Caenorhabditis elegans: one gene and its partner. The protein of the gene in region 2 purifies or fractionates together with the protein of the main gene of each other region. This does not show direct contact. Each region holds a gene or a part of one and is shown on either strand. Other genes may lie near its edges.

Region 1 (8,129 bases), on a different chromosome or scaffold from region 2:
TCCCGGGTTCCGTCGATCGCTGTCTGTTGTGTGCGCCGCGACTCCGCCCACCGGTGGTAACTTTTTGTGGGGGAATCTTTGTTTTTGGTCATTTTTCAGCGCTTTTCAGCGATTATTGACCAATTTTGAATAAAATTTTCAACAGAATATCATCTAAAATATTGCTTAACATTTATTTAACAGAAATAACGTGAGCACGCATGTAAAACATGAAATTTTCGGGAAAATTGCAATTAAACGAATAAAAATCGATATTTAAATCAATTATTGGTGAATCCGGTGTGTTGAGGCTTCAATGCATACATTTTTACTGGATAAATCTCCTTTGGGAATCCGGTTTGCAGTGCTTTCGAGACCATGTCCAGTTGAGAATCGGCGAACGCTTTAAGAAGCTCGGGCTGAATAATGAATTGTTTTAAAAAATGTTTAGTAAAAAATTGTTTTCGTGCAAATTGTCTTCGATATTATCCAAACGTGACGTTTTGCGATTTTCGCGCTAAAATTACAGTAAGTGGGGTCTCGACACGACAATTTTTGTGAAATACAAACGGGCGTGTGTCTTTAAGAAGTACTGTAGTTTAAAAACTTCATTTCTGTGGAATTTTCATATATTTTTCATAGTTTTTCTCTTTAAATAAATCACTTTTCAACAAAAAACTATGAGACAATAGTTTGAAATTACAGTATTCTTTAAAGGTGCACGCCTGCTCGAATTTCGCAAAAACGTGTCGTGTCGAGACCCCAATTACAGTATTTTTGACCCGAATATCGCGAAATTTCGAGTCTGGGTGAAAACATTGAAATTTTTGGCAAAATAAAAGAAATATGTCCTTTTTCAGAATATATTTTCTAAATTTCGAGACGAAACAACAATTTTAAATGAATTTTAATTTTAAATATTAAATATTTCGGAATTTGGCGTTTTTTATGCATGTCGATTCACTAACGATTTTGTACTACACGTGGGCAAGTTTATACAGTTTTTGGCTAAAATTTGTGAATTTGAACCGTTTTTCGGCGAATATTTGAAAAATTGGCAAAACTGGTTCAAAAACAAAAATTTTTTAAACTGTACAAACTGTCCAAAAATTCGTCGTAAATCGACACACCCTTCTCATTTTTTCAAAATTTTAATTGTTTTCGAATGTTTTTTTTGCAGAATAATTTGTAAAATGAGCCTTTTGTGAATTTTTTTTAATTTCAAAGTTTTTATTATTTTTTCTCAAACCAGCACCTCTGTTCTCGTCCAACTATGATCATCATCGTCGAATAACCGTTTCTCGTGATTTGTCACATTATCCTTGAGCACAATACATCCACCAGGTTTCAGTCCTTTCTGAAAATGAAAATTAATTTTAAAAAAATTGAATTATTTTAAATGAAACAGTTTTCAGAGATTTCTCAACTTTTGAGTCCACCACCAGGCCTGCACGTTTTTCGGGTTTTATCTTTTAAAAAACTGAAAAATCGAAAAATTTCAATTTCTGTTTTGTGGTCAAAATTGTAATTACAGGTAAGCAAATAGTTTAATTTTAAAATTGAAAATTAGGGAAATGACCGGACATAAGTTTAAAAACCCGATTTTTTCAATAAAAAGGAAAATTGAAAATTTAATAAAACAGGTTGTAAATCAAGGAGATCGTATTGATTGAAAAAAAATCCGAATGTTCCGGATTTTTCAGTGGTTTTTTTTGAAAGAAAATCGAAAAAGTAAATGTTTTTAATTTTTAAATTTAAATTTTTAATCGGAAAAAATGTACGAAATTGACTTTTTAATGTGAAAAATTGTTGTTTTAAAAAAAAATTTTAACCGATACAGATTTTCTAGACTCAGTTTTTTCGGTTGAATATTGTTTTTTACTATTTTTTCATTACAGAAAGAATCCAATTTTATTTCGCTTAAAAAATAACCGGAGCATCGAAAATATTTTTTTTTCTGTTTTACTCAAAGCATTTCAATTACCTAGAATTTTGTTTAAAAACTACATGCTTTATTTATGAACGTAATAAATAAGACCCCCTCTTATTTATAAACTTTCAACATATTTTCAGTTTTCAGTGCTATCTAGTGCTTACCGCACATCTTTTAAAGAAATCAACCAAATCCTCATCAACCAAATGCCCTGAAACCCATTGAATCCATATCAAATCATAACGTCGTTCGGGCGGTGCAAACGTCTGCAGTCCTTCGACGAATTTATCTCCAATTCGTGGATGTTTTCCAATATATTGATCACTTTTCGTGATCAACTCCTCGACGACGTCTTCCATATCAACTTTCGAGAAGAATGGCATTAAGAGATGCTTTGTAACACGTCCGATACCCGCTCCGCAGTCCAGTGCATAGTCAAAGTAGCCGAATAGATTCTGGAAAATATTTATAAAATTCAAAGTTGGCCCAGGGGTGACCGGCAATTTCAAGCAAATCGGCAAATTGTCAATTTTCTGAATTTGCCGAAAATTTGACAAAAACGACAATTTGCCGGTTCGCCGAATTTACCTTTTTTAAATTTAATTTTCAATTCAGGCAAACTGACGATTTTCCGTTTGCCGGATATCAATTTGCAGGAATTTCTCAAAGGAATTTTTATTAAGACGGAAACACAGTGCTTTTTTGAATTTTTTTTCCCGTTTTCTTCAGATATTTTTATAGAATTTACTGACTTTTCAGAATAGATGTAGGACAATTTTGTTGTTTTAAAAATTGAAATTCTGAAATTTCCAACAAAAAAACATGTGCAAACCCACAAGTTGGCAAAAATATTTTGCATTTGCCGTTTTTCCCGTTTGCCGAAAAGTCTAATTTCGGTAATTGGGCCATTTTTCGAAATTTTGAGCCACATAAAAAACTTTGAACCATTTTTGAGAAGTATTATTACGACATTCGTTTATTTGAGCACAATTTGGGCCTATACTTTCAAAATCGGGGTTTGAAAACCCCTATATGTTCGACCGAATGTTAATCTCATAAAAATTTGATGAAAATAAAATTTTCTACGGCTCATAAACGTATAGCCCCCGTCAGTCTCAAAATTTATACGATAGACACTTTTTGGCGTTTATCGCCTATATTCCGTCAAAAACCATTATTCATCATTCTTTCAATGTTGTTTTTTTTAAGGCTAAAAAACTTTCATGCAAATTTGTTAGCCGTGTCGTGGTTTATACGAAAATTTCAGAATTTATAAAATAAAGGAAAACGAAAATGTTTCTATATACCCTATTTATGTTCTCTGATTCCGAATACCAATGTGAAAAATTCAAAAAAAATTCCCTGATTTTATATAAATTTTTGTAAGCGACAAAAATTGTCGTTTGAATTTCACACTTGGTTACAAAAATTTATGAAAATGAGGAAAATTTGTTTTAATTTTTTCACATTGATATTCGGAATCAGGAAAATAAATAGGGTCTATAGAAAAATTCCGAACCTTCACTCCTTCTCTGAGTATAATAAATTTAAAATAAATACAGAAAATTTCAGTTCAGACCTCATTAAATTTGGGTATATTTCTAGGATCCGAGTTTTTACACCAGATTTACAAACTTTTAGCCTTTCACCGCCTTTTTATGCGCATTTCCCATCAGTCAACTCCAAAAAAATCGCAACTTTTGCCTCATATTTCAAGAATATTCCCCTTTCTCTCCCCATTGAAAGTCATTTTCGAAACAAGCGGAAGATTCGTCATATGTGGTAATGTGTGGCGTGCGTTGGCAAACAACAAGAAAGAATCATTCTCTGAAAACAAAAAGCGTTTTGGGTGCCAAAGTAATATTGAAAATCTGCCGTGTTTTCTCATTTTCCATCAAAAGAAAATGAGAAAAAAGTTTCGGCGTTTTATTTGATTTCCGGGAAAGAAGACTCGGAAAAAGATTTAATTGAATTTTTCATAGCAAACCTATATTGCAACAACTTTCTAAAAGGTCAGAAATTGCCGCGTAGCCTAGAAAATTGGAAAACTCTTCCAGCTGGTATTATTTCAGACATGGTGCATCGAAAATTCGAAAATTACAGAAATTAACATTTTGGAGCATCTGCCAGAAAATTGAGATTACAGTACCCCACTTCTGCCGAGAAATTCGAGGTGGAAGAGGTCTTACAAAATTTTCGGTCACGTGAAAATGGGAAGCGTTCAGGCTCCACACGACGGAATTCACCTAGTTTTCAGGTGAGAAGATATCGTACGAGGAGAATTGACCTCCAAATCCTGATCGTGACTACAGGTCGTCGTTCGGAGCTGTGGAAGAGTTTTGAAAATCTTCGACCATGAGAGAAATAGACAGGACGACCAAACATTTTCAGTGGAAGAGCTTTTCCTAGGCCATCAGGATGCTATTTCGACAGAGCTGAGTTATCCTCAAGTCGTTACGAGGTGTGGAAAAGTTTTCCAAAATCCCCGACCAGGTAGAAAATGAGCACACCGATTAAGTTTCTCCAGTGGTAGAGTTTTTTCTAGGCCATCATTATGCTATCTAGAAAAAAGCTTCGGCCATGGGGTTTTTAGGCCGTCTATTTATTTCTCATAACTTTCTCAGAAATTCGTCTATTTCTCAGAACCCCCCAATGATAAGTTTTTTGCAAAAAAAGTTCTGCTTTGCTCATCAGCCGTAATCAGGTGACCTCATTAGGCCTACCCAAACACAGATTTGTCATTATTTTTCAGACAAAAAACACGAAAAAAATCTTCACGCATGGGGTGATAACCTGATTTTAAATCTTACTGTGCCGGCTGGCGCGGCGAGCTTCGATCACTGAGCCGAAAGATTATGAAAACTATGGGAATGACGGCGTAGCCTAGAAATCGTCCAGGCAGAGATTCTGTCTAATTTTCGAGCATATATCTCCCAGTTTTGTTATTAATTTAAGTAAACTCAAACCTAGAAACAAGTAAAACGGGAGGGGGGGGGGGAATATCAGAAAATTAAATCTTGCGACACTTTTCCATTGATACTTTCAAGGTAATGCCCAGAGGTGTGCGGCAAATTTTGAAACTTGCGCATGCCGCCTTTTTTTTTTTCTAGAAAACAGTCAGAATTTTTTGTCGAATTTGTTGAAAATTCGCTAATATACTGTGAGTTTAGAAAAAATAACGAAAAAACTCGGAAAAGGAGGAAGAGATCTGAAATATGTAGATTTTTTTAGAAAAGACCAGAAATTACTGAAAAATTGGCATTTTTCGTCGAAACCCCAATATACTAAATTATTCGGATTTTTAGAAAATTTTCAAATTCACCATACAGTGCATTTTTTCCTACTTCTACGACTTTAAAGGGGGGAGCATTTATGCGGAAGGGTCTTGCCGCGCATTTAGTCATCATTTTTAGCAGTTTCTGTGTAAAATTCGCGTAGATCACATGAAGATCACAAAATATTTATCCCATATTTCGTATTTCTGTTGCTTTTTCACAAATTAATTGTGATCTACGCGTGATCTCCGCGAATTTTGAGCAGACTTTGTTAAAAATGATGACTATGTGCACGGCAAGACCCTTCCGCATAAATGCGCCCCCCTTTAAAGTCGTAGAAGTGGAAAAAAAATGCACTGTAGCAAAAAATCGAACATTTCTGTTCGATTTTTGAATTTCTCGAAATTTTTTAAAATAATTTTTAAAATAACATTTTTATTTTATTTCGAAAACTACCGATTTTAGAAAAATTCTAAAATTTCGATTTTTTTTGTTGATTTTTCGATTTTTAAAATAAAATTTCATAATTTTTTAAACCGATCTTTCTTGCTTTTCCTGAAAAATCGATGATTTCTATACCTTTTTCTTCAGTCCTTCAATAAATCGTTTCGACGCCGATATGTCGGGCGCGTGAAGCGCTTCGAATCCGCCGAGCATTCCGTTGACGTCCTGGCTCGCGCGGCTCCAGTATTCCTCCGCCTGAAAGAGAATAGTTGAAAACATTGTTTTGAGACTTAAAAATTTTTTTTTTAGTTTTTTTCAAAAATTCTTACATGTTATAGAGTTTTTTTTTCAAATTTTCAGCTTTTTTCAGAAAAACTTAGTATTTTCGATAATTTTAAATAAAAAAGTTTTTTTTCAAAAAATGTTTCGGTTTTTTTTTTAATTTTTGGTCTAAAATTCTCCGCAAAAGATTTGCGTGCTGGCCGAACTTTTTGATTTTGTACCTTTTCATAAACATCTTCACCATTGTGAATTCTAGAAGATGATGAAGAGCTCATTTTTGATGTTGTGACAGCTGCTCCGAGCAATCTGGAGACTTTTGTGACGAAAAGACGAGAGGTCACGGATATGATGATGATACTGGAAATGAGATATTTATATTTACTAGTTCATCGGGAAAATTATTACGAGAAAGATAAACAGACATGTGCGTTTTTTTAATGGAAGAGAAACACAAGAAAAATCTGGAAAACTAGGCCACGGCTATCAGTGTCGATTTACGGCATACGGTCTCGACACGACTATTTTTGTTAAATGTGAAGGTATGCACCTTTAAAGAGTACTGTAGTTTGTAACTCTCATTGCTGCAACATATTTGACGCTCAGCGAAAACTACAGCAATTCTTCAAAAGACTACTGTAGCCTTTGTGTTGACTTACGGGCTCGATTCTCGAAACGAATTTCTGCTCGAATTGTGACAGCCATATTCAATTTGGTATAGTCTTTTCGTATTTTTTGCCATTTTTCTGTTTTCTTCTAATATTTAATCTATTATTAAATTATGTCCGTAACTCCCTCCAAAATTAGAACTGCGACCGAACAGAGATTCGTTCCGCCCCATATTCCGGCCAATCAGATCGAGTAGGCGGAGTTCGAAGTCGCTGATTGGTTTGAAAAGTCGCGGAAATTTGCAAGTTTTAAGGTAGCGAAAACTGATGACTATTGTAGCGCGCTTGTGTCGATTTACGGAATCTCGATTTTCAGGAATGAATTTTTAATTACATTTTTTCGCTCAATTAATATTCTAAATAAATAAATAAATGATTTGAATTAATTTAATTTCATTCGAGCCCGTAGATCGACACATGTGCTACAGTAATCATTAGTTTTCGCTACGAGATATTTTGCGCGTAAAATATTTTCCCGTAATAACTCTACTCCGACAAACATTACGACCTCCATGGAGGCCTCCAGGTATAGGTGAGACTCTTGTATTTCCAATTCAGAGACAATGCGTCACTGGAAGAGAAAACGAAGCGGAAAAAAAAACACGGAAACCCAAAAATAGTGTTTGCCCCGCTCTATTCTTCTCCAATAATTTCTGTGTCTAATTTTGAAAGACTCCACCTGTGTATGCCTTCTCGACATAAACCCCCCCCCCCCCCCCTATCTTACATGGTACTGATAACACTTTCAGTCTTTCACACTTTTGGCGCGCAACGCCGCTCTTTTTTCGCGGCGAGCTGATGACGTCATCAATTTTTCATCGCTTTTGATTATCTTCAATGTTCTAGAAGGGCACATAGGTCATCCTTATTTTTTCCTTCTCTTTCTCGTGACGGCCCTTGTTGCGCATGCCCGCCCCCTAGAGCAGGGCGTGGCCTGAACGGCGGCTCCGAGAGCTACTCATTCTTGCCGCGTCACCCTCCAGCGCCACCCAAACTTCTTCGGTTCTAGAGATCGAGAAGAACGTATGATTTTTTAAAATTATAATTGTTTCTTTCGAAAAAAAAAATTTCATTTACAGTAAGCCAAACATACACAATCAACATGAAACTCGTAATTCTGCTATCTTTTGTTGCGACAGTTGCGGTTTTTGGTGAGTTTATGCTTTAGATAATACTTTTCCGCCAAAAATACAGTTGCCGGTCTCGGTATGGCAATATTTTTGTTAAATTCGAAAAGCAGTGAGTAATGTAGTTTCGAATTTTCGTTTCTGCTTAATTTTCATCAATTCATCGTTTTTCTCACGACTTCTTCTTTATGAAAAATCAATGAAAATTCTGACTAGGTCAGCTTAGGGGTGAGGTACCTAGAGACGCCACATATGCCAAACGGAAGCTGAGATCATTGGCTACAAGAATATGCTTTCAAATTCTGCAACGGACCTCTGGGAGTCTGGAAATTCTTGTCTGAAATTATGCTTTTGAATGCTCGAAAGTGGTAAGAATTTAGAATTTATTACAGAAAAACGTTTAATTAATAAAATTAGTTTTATA
Region 2 (7,945 bases):
TTTACGGAAACATTTTATTAATCGATTAAATATTAAAAGAAACACAAAAATGACAAAACAATACGAAAAACTGAATATCACTGTCGCAATTCGAACATAAGTGAAAATCGATCCCGTAAATCGACACCAGCACTACAGTAGTCATTTAAAAAGTTACTGTAGTTTTCGGTCAGATATTTTGCGCGTCAAATATGTTGCGCAATACGCCTTCTCAGGATTTAGTGTTCTCGTAATATGAGAGTACAATATTAAGTTTATTCTTCTCATCTATTTTTCTTCAAATTAATGCATACGAGTATTTTTTCCTGCAAAATGCGATTCATTTTTTAACCATATCACTCAATTTCTCAAATTTATTTGTTTTTTCTTTCAGTACATTCCCTCACAATTCGAGCTTGCTTTTTCCTATCCCACTTGTTTGATCTCTACGCTAAATATTTCCACGTGTAAAGTATTTTTCACCAGTCTTCCACACACTTTCCTCTTTTTTCGAATGAATTTTTGCTGAACATCATTTAAAACTCTGAATTGATTTATTGAAAGCTGAAAGCATTTGGATTTGTGTGCACCGAGAGAAAAGAAAACTGAATACAAAAATATACACATAGAGATGAAAAGATAGAGAAAAATTTGATGTTTTGATTAACTCCTAAAAATTTGCCAAAAAAACGGGAAAGAGTGAATTATGGAAAGGAGAAAAAATGATAGAAGATAACAAAGGGACACTGGGAGAAACTTTGTTTTCAGAAAGAGAAGAAGACCCGTAGTTTTAAATTGAGTAATAAATAACGTTGAAGCGTATTAACGGCGCCACCATTGAATAAGTCGCTTCGATGCTGAAACAGGCTGATCTATTCCACGAACAAAGCGAGTAGCCCTATCCAAAGTAAGGTTCTTCAAACGATCCGAATCTTCTTCGCTGAAAATTTCGAATGTTGTTTCATTAGTTTCACTGAAAGTAGTTTATTACGTGGTGTCAGAATGTCCCATTCGGTTTGATCTACGTAGATCTACAAAAAATTCGGAAGTTGAGACGAAGAGTTCTCAACTGATTTCGCATGGTTAAGAACGTGCTGACGGCACTTTCTTAGGCGAAAAATTCCAGCATTTTTTGTAGATCAAACCGTGATGGGACAGCCTGACACCACGTGGTTCAACAAAGCAATAAACACTTACATTTCGTCCTCAGTTGCAAATAACTTTTGAACCAAGTTACTTTTTGTTTTCATAGCATCACTATATTGTTCAATCAGTTTATCCGTTGCCGTCTTATTCTCATCAGAACGAGGGAAATCATCAGGAACTTCATTGATTTGTTTTCCCAATTGGTCAATTTCCGAAGTAACCTGACGAATTGTCTCAATGATATTATAGTATTCCTGTCGATGTACAAGAGTGTTCCGTTCATTTGTCAACTCAAGATATGATGCAGTCAACATTTCTTCTTCTGAACTTCCAACTTCTGTTTCACGGATCTTGTCTTGAATAACCTGAAAACAAAACAAACTGAATTAATCCTTTAATTCTCAGAATCTTACATCGGCTTGTGCTGTAATATCCGATATACGTTCGTCAATACGAACAAGCTCATTGGCGGTTCCTTCAACGTCATCGACGTCTTTTTCCCATTGGGAAGAGAACTTTTTGGTTGGTGTCGCCAGAGCGTCTTGCGAAGATGATTCGAAATCGTTTCCCTAAAAATAATAACATTTAGACGGTAACTTTCAATTTGCACCCATGATTAAATTTTATGTTGATTAAAATAGAAGCAAAAATCATTACATTACACTTTTTACAACATCACAAACCATGTATCCGTATTGTTTCGCCATCAACTGCAACGATTCTTTCAATTCTGCACTACGCATACTCCCATATCTCTTGACACGATCAAATGTAGAAGCTGATGAAGGAGTTGATGAATCGTTCTGAAATGTGAGCAAAACACTTGTTAGGCATACTGTACAATGCGGTGTATGATAAAAAAGAAAATATAGAACAGAGAAGAACTAAAGATAATATCGACGAAAGAAAAATTATGGTTAGATAGAAATGAGGATTGCTAGTGGTATTGACAGCTAATTGACAACATTCATATTTAAAGCTTAAAATAATACTCAAATGTTTAAAATTGAAAATCAGACAACTTATTACACTGACAAAATAGTTTGCGACAAAATATACGGTAGCTGGTCTTGACGCAAGGTTTCAAGCTCTCGTATTTGTCGATATTTCATCGATTCTTCATAGTTTTTTTTTAAATTTATGTGTGTTTTATTGTTTTATTTTAGTTTTTTATAAAAAAAAAAGTTTTATCGAAAAACTATGAAAAATCTATGAAAATACCTCACCAACGAGGATTTGAAGTAACTGTATCTTTAAAGGTACACATATTTTTCCTGAATCGGTGTTGCCAATAATGCTCTATTCGGGATTAAACTGTTAACTCGGCATTTCGCGTCTTCTTTCTCCCACCTTTTTGCCGGAAGGCGAAAAGGTGGGAGAAAGTAGGCACGAAATGCCGAGAATTTAAATATATTAATGACTGACCCGATTTCCATTTGTTCTGCCACGACCAATTGCTGGCACATGAGGAGTATCATTGGGATCGTCTGTAATTAAAACAAAATTAAGATGAAATTGTTCCTAATAATGCAATTGACATGTTAAAAATCACTGCACTATGAGGAAATAATAAAATGTACATTGTTTGCGGACGAGCGTCGGAGATGGATCACGTTTCTTGAACTTGTGTACATCGAGTTCTGAAAATAAATTCACTACATGCTTTGTCACAACACTAAAACAATTAAATCGGAGCATGATCTGAAAATGTTACAAACCAATACGACGAAGATCGGTATTTGATCCATCGATACGACGGAAAGTGGGATATGGTGATGATGAAGTAGAGGGGATTGCTGAAATGGGAACACACGGTAGAAATAATTAAAACAATCACAACAAAGGAGATTACTATAGAGAATCACGACAACTTTTGTGTTTTTAAAAACTTCTCACCCGTTGGATGCTGCTTTTCGTTCAGCATCCGTCTGACCTCTTCGCGTCTTCTCTCTTCATCACTCGCTTTCCGTGAATTTGGTGTTGCTGCAGGAGTTGTTGATTTTTCAATTAAATCACGTGCTCTTTGGCGTAGTTCATCTCGCTTTGAAGGTGATGCACGATTCTGAAAGTTGTAAAGATTTTCAAAAATAAGAATCTCGTAAAATTGGATATCTATTAGGAAAAAGAATTGATTAGACTATTTCGCTGGGAACAAATGTAATTGAGTTTTATAAGGGCGAGTATTTAATAAGTTTTTTAAGTTGTGTCGCAATTTTTATCAAGCTGTTATATGGTAGTAGGAAATGTTCAGTTATGTATAACCTTATAAATTGCATTAAAAAAATAAAATAAGAAAATATACCAAGAAATCTGACGATTGAAAGAACCTGTTTTTTTCCTATAATTTCAGTTATATTATACACACAAAGTATCTTAAAAATGGTAGAATTGAAGTGAAAAAAGATTTCAATAACTATTTTAAATAATTAGCATTATTCAATTCGAAATTCAACAAAAAAACAAAAACTAAATATTTAAAATTTTAAAATTTTTTTTTTCAATAAAAACTCACCGATGCACGAATTGCTCCAACTCCTGGAGTCACCATGGTTATGCTTACATTACTTCTCTCAAAGCGCATATTTGAAGTTTCAGCATCATCGTCATCAGCGTCAGTTGGTTGATTGAGAGCCGGATTGCGACTAGCCAACTGTGGTGTAACAGGAACTTCATCAGGAATGTGTCTATAATCCACAGCTTCTTCGAGATCTTTTTGATTTCGAATTTCTGTAATCATGGCAACAACTTTTTCTTCGGATTCATTAATTCCAAATGTTCTGGATATTCTGTGATCAGAAGCACTGGCTGGTGTAGATCCCTCGTCAAATCCTTCAAAGATTCGGCGAAGATGTTGAAGAAGAAATTCTATTTGTTTCCGATCAGGAGTCAGAAACATATCAACTGTTGGTACTTCTGTTATTCCTATCAAAGTAAGTGAATCGAGGGCTCTTTGAATATTCGAAATGCGTCCAGACATATTATTAGAGATATCCAGTGTTTCGTAATCTCCAATGAGATCCGGGCGATAAGAATGAAGAACTGCACACAAGGCCAATCCGTTGTTCCAAGATTTCATAAAATCATTAACTTTTACATGCGAATATCCGTTAGTAACTCTCTGACACCATGAAAGTAAAGTCTCTCCATCGATCGGTTGAGGGACAGCATCTCTAGATGGAGCTCTCGGAGAATTTGATCTTCTGAAATTGAAAAAAAATTATGATTGTGAGAAAAGTAACCAAACAATACCCTCTACTCATTGTTCCACTTTGAAGATAATATGGTGTAGCGATTGCTGTAACTGGAACATGCCGAGAATTGGAATCCACACGGAATTCTATTGTTGTAGACGCTTTTTCTTCTGTCGAAGCACGGCTTGACCGACTATGTCTGTTGGTTGCAATTGGCGCTGGAGCTGCTGGTTGTGACGTTTTTTCTTCTTCAGCTGATACTCTCCATTGGGGACGAACTGAAATACATTCTATAAGAGCCACGGGTGTCGGTTTTTCGATTTTTCGTTTTCCGAAAAATTGAAAAAAAAAATTTCGAGTATTTATTTTGGTTTTTTTAATCCTTTTTCTTCATCAACATAAACAAATTTTGATATATCATTTTCTGGATAATTTTCGAATTTTTTTTTCGATTTTCGATGTTCCTTGAAAAAAAAATGAAAAAAATCTACAAATTTTTTGATGACCACACACGAATTTAGGCTATATGACTTTTTTCCATGAAAATATTCTAGCCAAAAATTCTAACGATTAGGTTTAAAAAACGATTTCTAATTACCTTTTGCAGGGTTTTCATTCTCTCCGGAAGGTTTTCGGTGTGCTGGAACAATAGGCGGAGCGATTTCCTTTTCCTCTTTGATCCATTCCATCATTTTTGTAGCTGTCGTGTCGATTTGTTGTCTTGCAGCTTAAAAAAACAAATTATGTGAAATAAACTGTATTTTTTCAATCAAAATACCTGCTGCTCTGGAATCATTTGCACTCGCATCAACTTCATCTGTTACTGGAACTTTTTCAACAAAAGAGGCTGCAGCTGACGAAGTAATACTAACATCATCTGCATTTACTTCCGAAATAAGAGAACTTCCAAGAAGAATAATCAGGGAACACAATTTCAAATGAGGCGTCAATGGACGGAGCTTGAGCTTCAGTTCACTTTTATGATCGGGTAGATCCAGAATAAATAAGCGAACATTGAGTGGCACTGCTGCAATTGCTTTTCTTTTTCCTTTAGCAGTTACTTCTTCAACAACAATCGTCCATTCTTTATCTTCATATTCATCACTTGCAATACGATATAATGTTGTAAGAATATCTATATTCTCTGAAAATTGCTCAGGCCACATAATCAAACATTTGTTAGCGTCCGAACATTCTTCCCATTTTCGTTCCTTTGATGATACTTTTCGTCGTCTGTAAAAATTGTATGATAAAGGTTTCATGAACAATTTTTTATTTATTTTCGATTCGTATTATTTTCTTGTGAATATTTTTCTTTTTTTTTCAAATTTCCATAATGATCATGATGCATTGTGTCTATTTTCTGATTGACATTTATTATTCTTTGATAAGAAAATGTATTCACCTATGAACGAAAGAAACTGCAAGGTTTTCTGGTTTCCATTGTTCGTCGGTGTAGAGATGTAATTCCTAAAATAATAAACAATTGAGATAAAAGTATCAAGAACGAACCTGAAGAGTAACTGTAAATCTAAATTTGGCAGCTTTCTTATTGGATCTCCGAAGTCGACGAAGAATACCCGCCATCTGCAATTTATATGTTAAAACAATGGTAATCAGGTGCGTAATGCGAAGAATTTCTTTTCGATTTGTCGTACGGAAATGGATATTTGAGGAGATGAGAAGAAAGGAAAGGCGGCGGAAACCGAGAGGAATGGGCGCAGCCGTCTTCCTCCTCCTCATTCGACAACGGCGGCGAGAAGATTTGATAAAATGAGCGAGAGGCGATAGACTAGAAGGAAAAGAGAGTGACAGAGGTAAAAAGAAAAGAGCATTTGGAGCTCCAAAGAGAAGGTCTGAAATATGTTATTTTATCCAGTGATTCACAAGAATTTGTATTATTTTAAAGAAAATGAACAATAGAAATTTAGTAAAACTGAAAGGGAGAGGAGAGAATAACAAAAACAATCTGACAGTAGAGCATCGTGTAATGTTACTAGATCGAGTTGGATTGGTCACTTGAGACCGCCGATACAAAGATTTATGGCCACTTCTTGCCATCTCTCACGCTCTCGGTAGGTTTTCGATTTAGCATTTAGTTACAAGTGCTACTTTTCGAGTGTTCGTCGTTATGTATCAGTCAGCTGCCAGCGCCCGTTACACTAACTCTGCTCAGCGCGCCGTCGAAGTTCAAGTGTTCTCCCATAAACAAAAAATGGCAGTCAGAATAAATAAGTTAATTTTTATTCTGAAAACACCATTAAGTAACGTTTTCAGAAAACATGAGGAGCTATCGAAAATGCGATATTTAATAAACGTGAGGAACATAAATGGTTTGATCGAGAACTATATGCATAACCACAGTGATTGTTTGACAAAAATTAATTTAATACGATGAAACTGCATGAAGAAAACAACAAAGTAGATATTTATTGCAACAATATATTGAAAAACCGTTTTCAAAAATTGGTCTAAAAAACACGGCCCGAGAAGTGGTATTTTTTTATGATGCATATAAAAAATTGGAGAGGTCTACACTCCAATTATCAGTAGAGCGCATTTGCATGGATGTACCACTTGCCGGGCCGTGAAAAACGTTTACGTCTTTTTGCGTCTGCATTCACAGTCACGCAAAAACGCAGACACGTTACTGTAAATAGAATATTGTGTAATTCGACGTGGCCGTGTTTGCACATTGTTATTCTGTTTGAAAACATTTTTTTTCCGAAATAATTTTTGCAGAGGGGTTTTTCTTTTATTTCTTTTATTTCCTTGGTAATTCCCTCCATAAATGCGTTTGTATTCTCACAAATTAAAAAATTAAATTATATTTTTAAAAAAGTTAAAAGCCGATTTCGATATTGATTATTTCTTAAGCAGGTAAAGAATTACTCACGATATTGTTAATTTTATTGTGAACAAACTACTTTTTCACCTTTGTTAAACTTTTACAAATGTCTCAATTAATTATAAATAATTTTTATACGAATTCAAACTCTTTAAAACCTTAGAAAGCTGAATAATCGAGCAGAAACTGCGGCAGCAATGCCCGCAATTAACTCGACAACAATGGCCTAGTTGTCGGGTGTTGCCTGTTTCTCGTCCTCTTCCATTTCTACGTTTTCCACGTTCTATGTTTGTCCTGCCTCCCGCCTTAACTACCATTCATAAACGTTTCATTCTAATTTAGGCCCTCTTCGAAGCTATGAGAAATCGTGAGAATCCAACCAAATGGGAGAGTTACAAGCAGGTCATCACAGCTGTTTCAGCATATTGGTACGCTATTCAGGTTTCTTTATTCAACTAAATTTTCCAATTTCAGGGTCTTCTCAATAGGATTAGTGTTTCTCAACAAGTATTTGCTGTCTAGTGTGCAGGTAAATTGTTCAATTCTCGAACATCAATAATTATTCTTTTTTCAGCTTGATGCTCCGCTTTTCATCACTTGGTATCAATGTTTGGTCACCGTATTTCTGTGTTTATTCCTCAGTAAAACATCAAAAGCTTATGGTTTATTCAAATTCCCATCGATGCCAATTGATGCAAAAATCAGCCGAGAAGTATTACCTCTTTCTGTCGTTTTTGTCGCTATGATTTCCTTCAATAATTTGTGTCTCAAATACGTTGGC

The links.
Region 1: the proteins of ehbp-1 (region 2) and homt-1 fractionate together in Caenorhabditis elegans (co-fractionation; one large-scale study listed by BioGRID). This does not show direct contact.

The regions. Positions count from the first base shown.
Region 1 is NC_003279.8:3,961-12,089, forward strand, and holds homt-1 (Alpha N-terminal protein methyltransferase 1), read right to left. Parts: upstream 6,271-8,129; 5' UTR 6,189-6,270; coding exon 6,135-6,188; intron 5,887-6,134; coding exon 5,767-5,886; intron 2,368-5,766; coding exon 2,077-2,367; intron 1,337-2,076; coding exon 1,235-1,336; intron 399-1,234; coding exon 261-398; 3' UTR 156-260; downstream 1-155. Other genes in the region: nlp-40 (Peptide P4), read left to right, coding at 7,681-7,729. UniProt on the Caenorhabditis elegans protein: Alpha-N-methyltransferase that methylates the N-terminus of target proteins containing the N-terminal motif [Ala/Pro/Ser]-Pro-Lys when the initiator Met is cleaved.
Region 2 is NC_003283.11:9,548,602-9,556,546, reverse strand, and holds ehbp-1 (EH domain-binding protein 1), read right to left. Parts: upstream 5,904-7,945; coding exon 5,829-5,903; intron 5,787-5,828; coding exon 5,722-5,786; intron 5,550-5,721; coding exon 5,095-5,549; intron 5,044-5,094; coding exon 4,915-5,043; intron 4,595-4,914; coding exon 4,375-4,594; intron 4,326-4,374; coding exon 3,638-4,325; intron 3,188-3,637; coding exon 3,022-3,187; intron 2,922-3,021; coding exon 2,844-2,921; intron 2,766-2,843; coding exon 2,706-2,765; intron 2,613-2,705; coding exon 2,551-2,612; intron 1,929-2,550; coding exon 1,809-1,928; intron 1,695-1,808; coding exon 1,539-1,694; intron 1,491-1,538; coding exon 1,177-1,490; intron 920-1,176; coding exon 802-919; 3' UTR 515-801; downstream 1-514. Other genes in the region: nstp-10 (GDP-fucose transporter), read left to right, coding at 6,711-6,737, 7,507-7,592, 7,639-7,693, 7,739-7,945.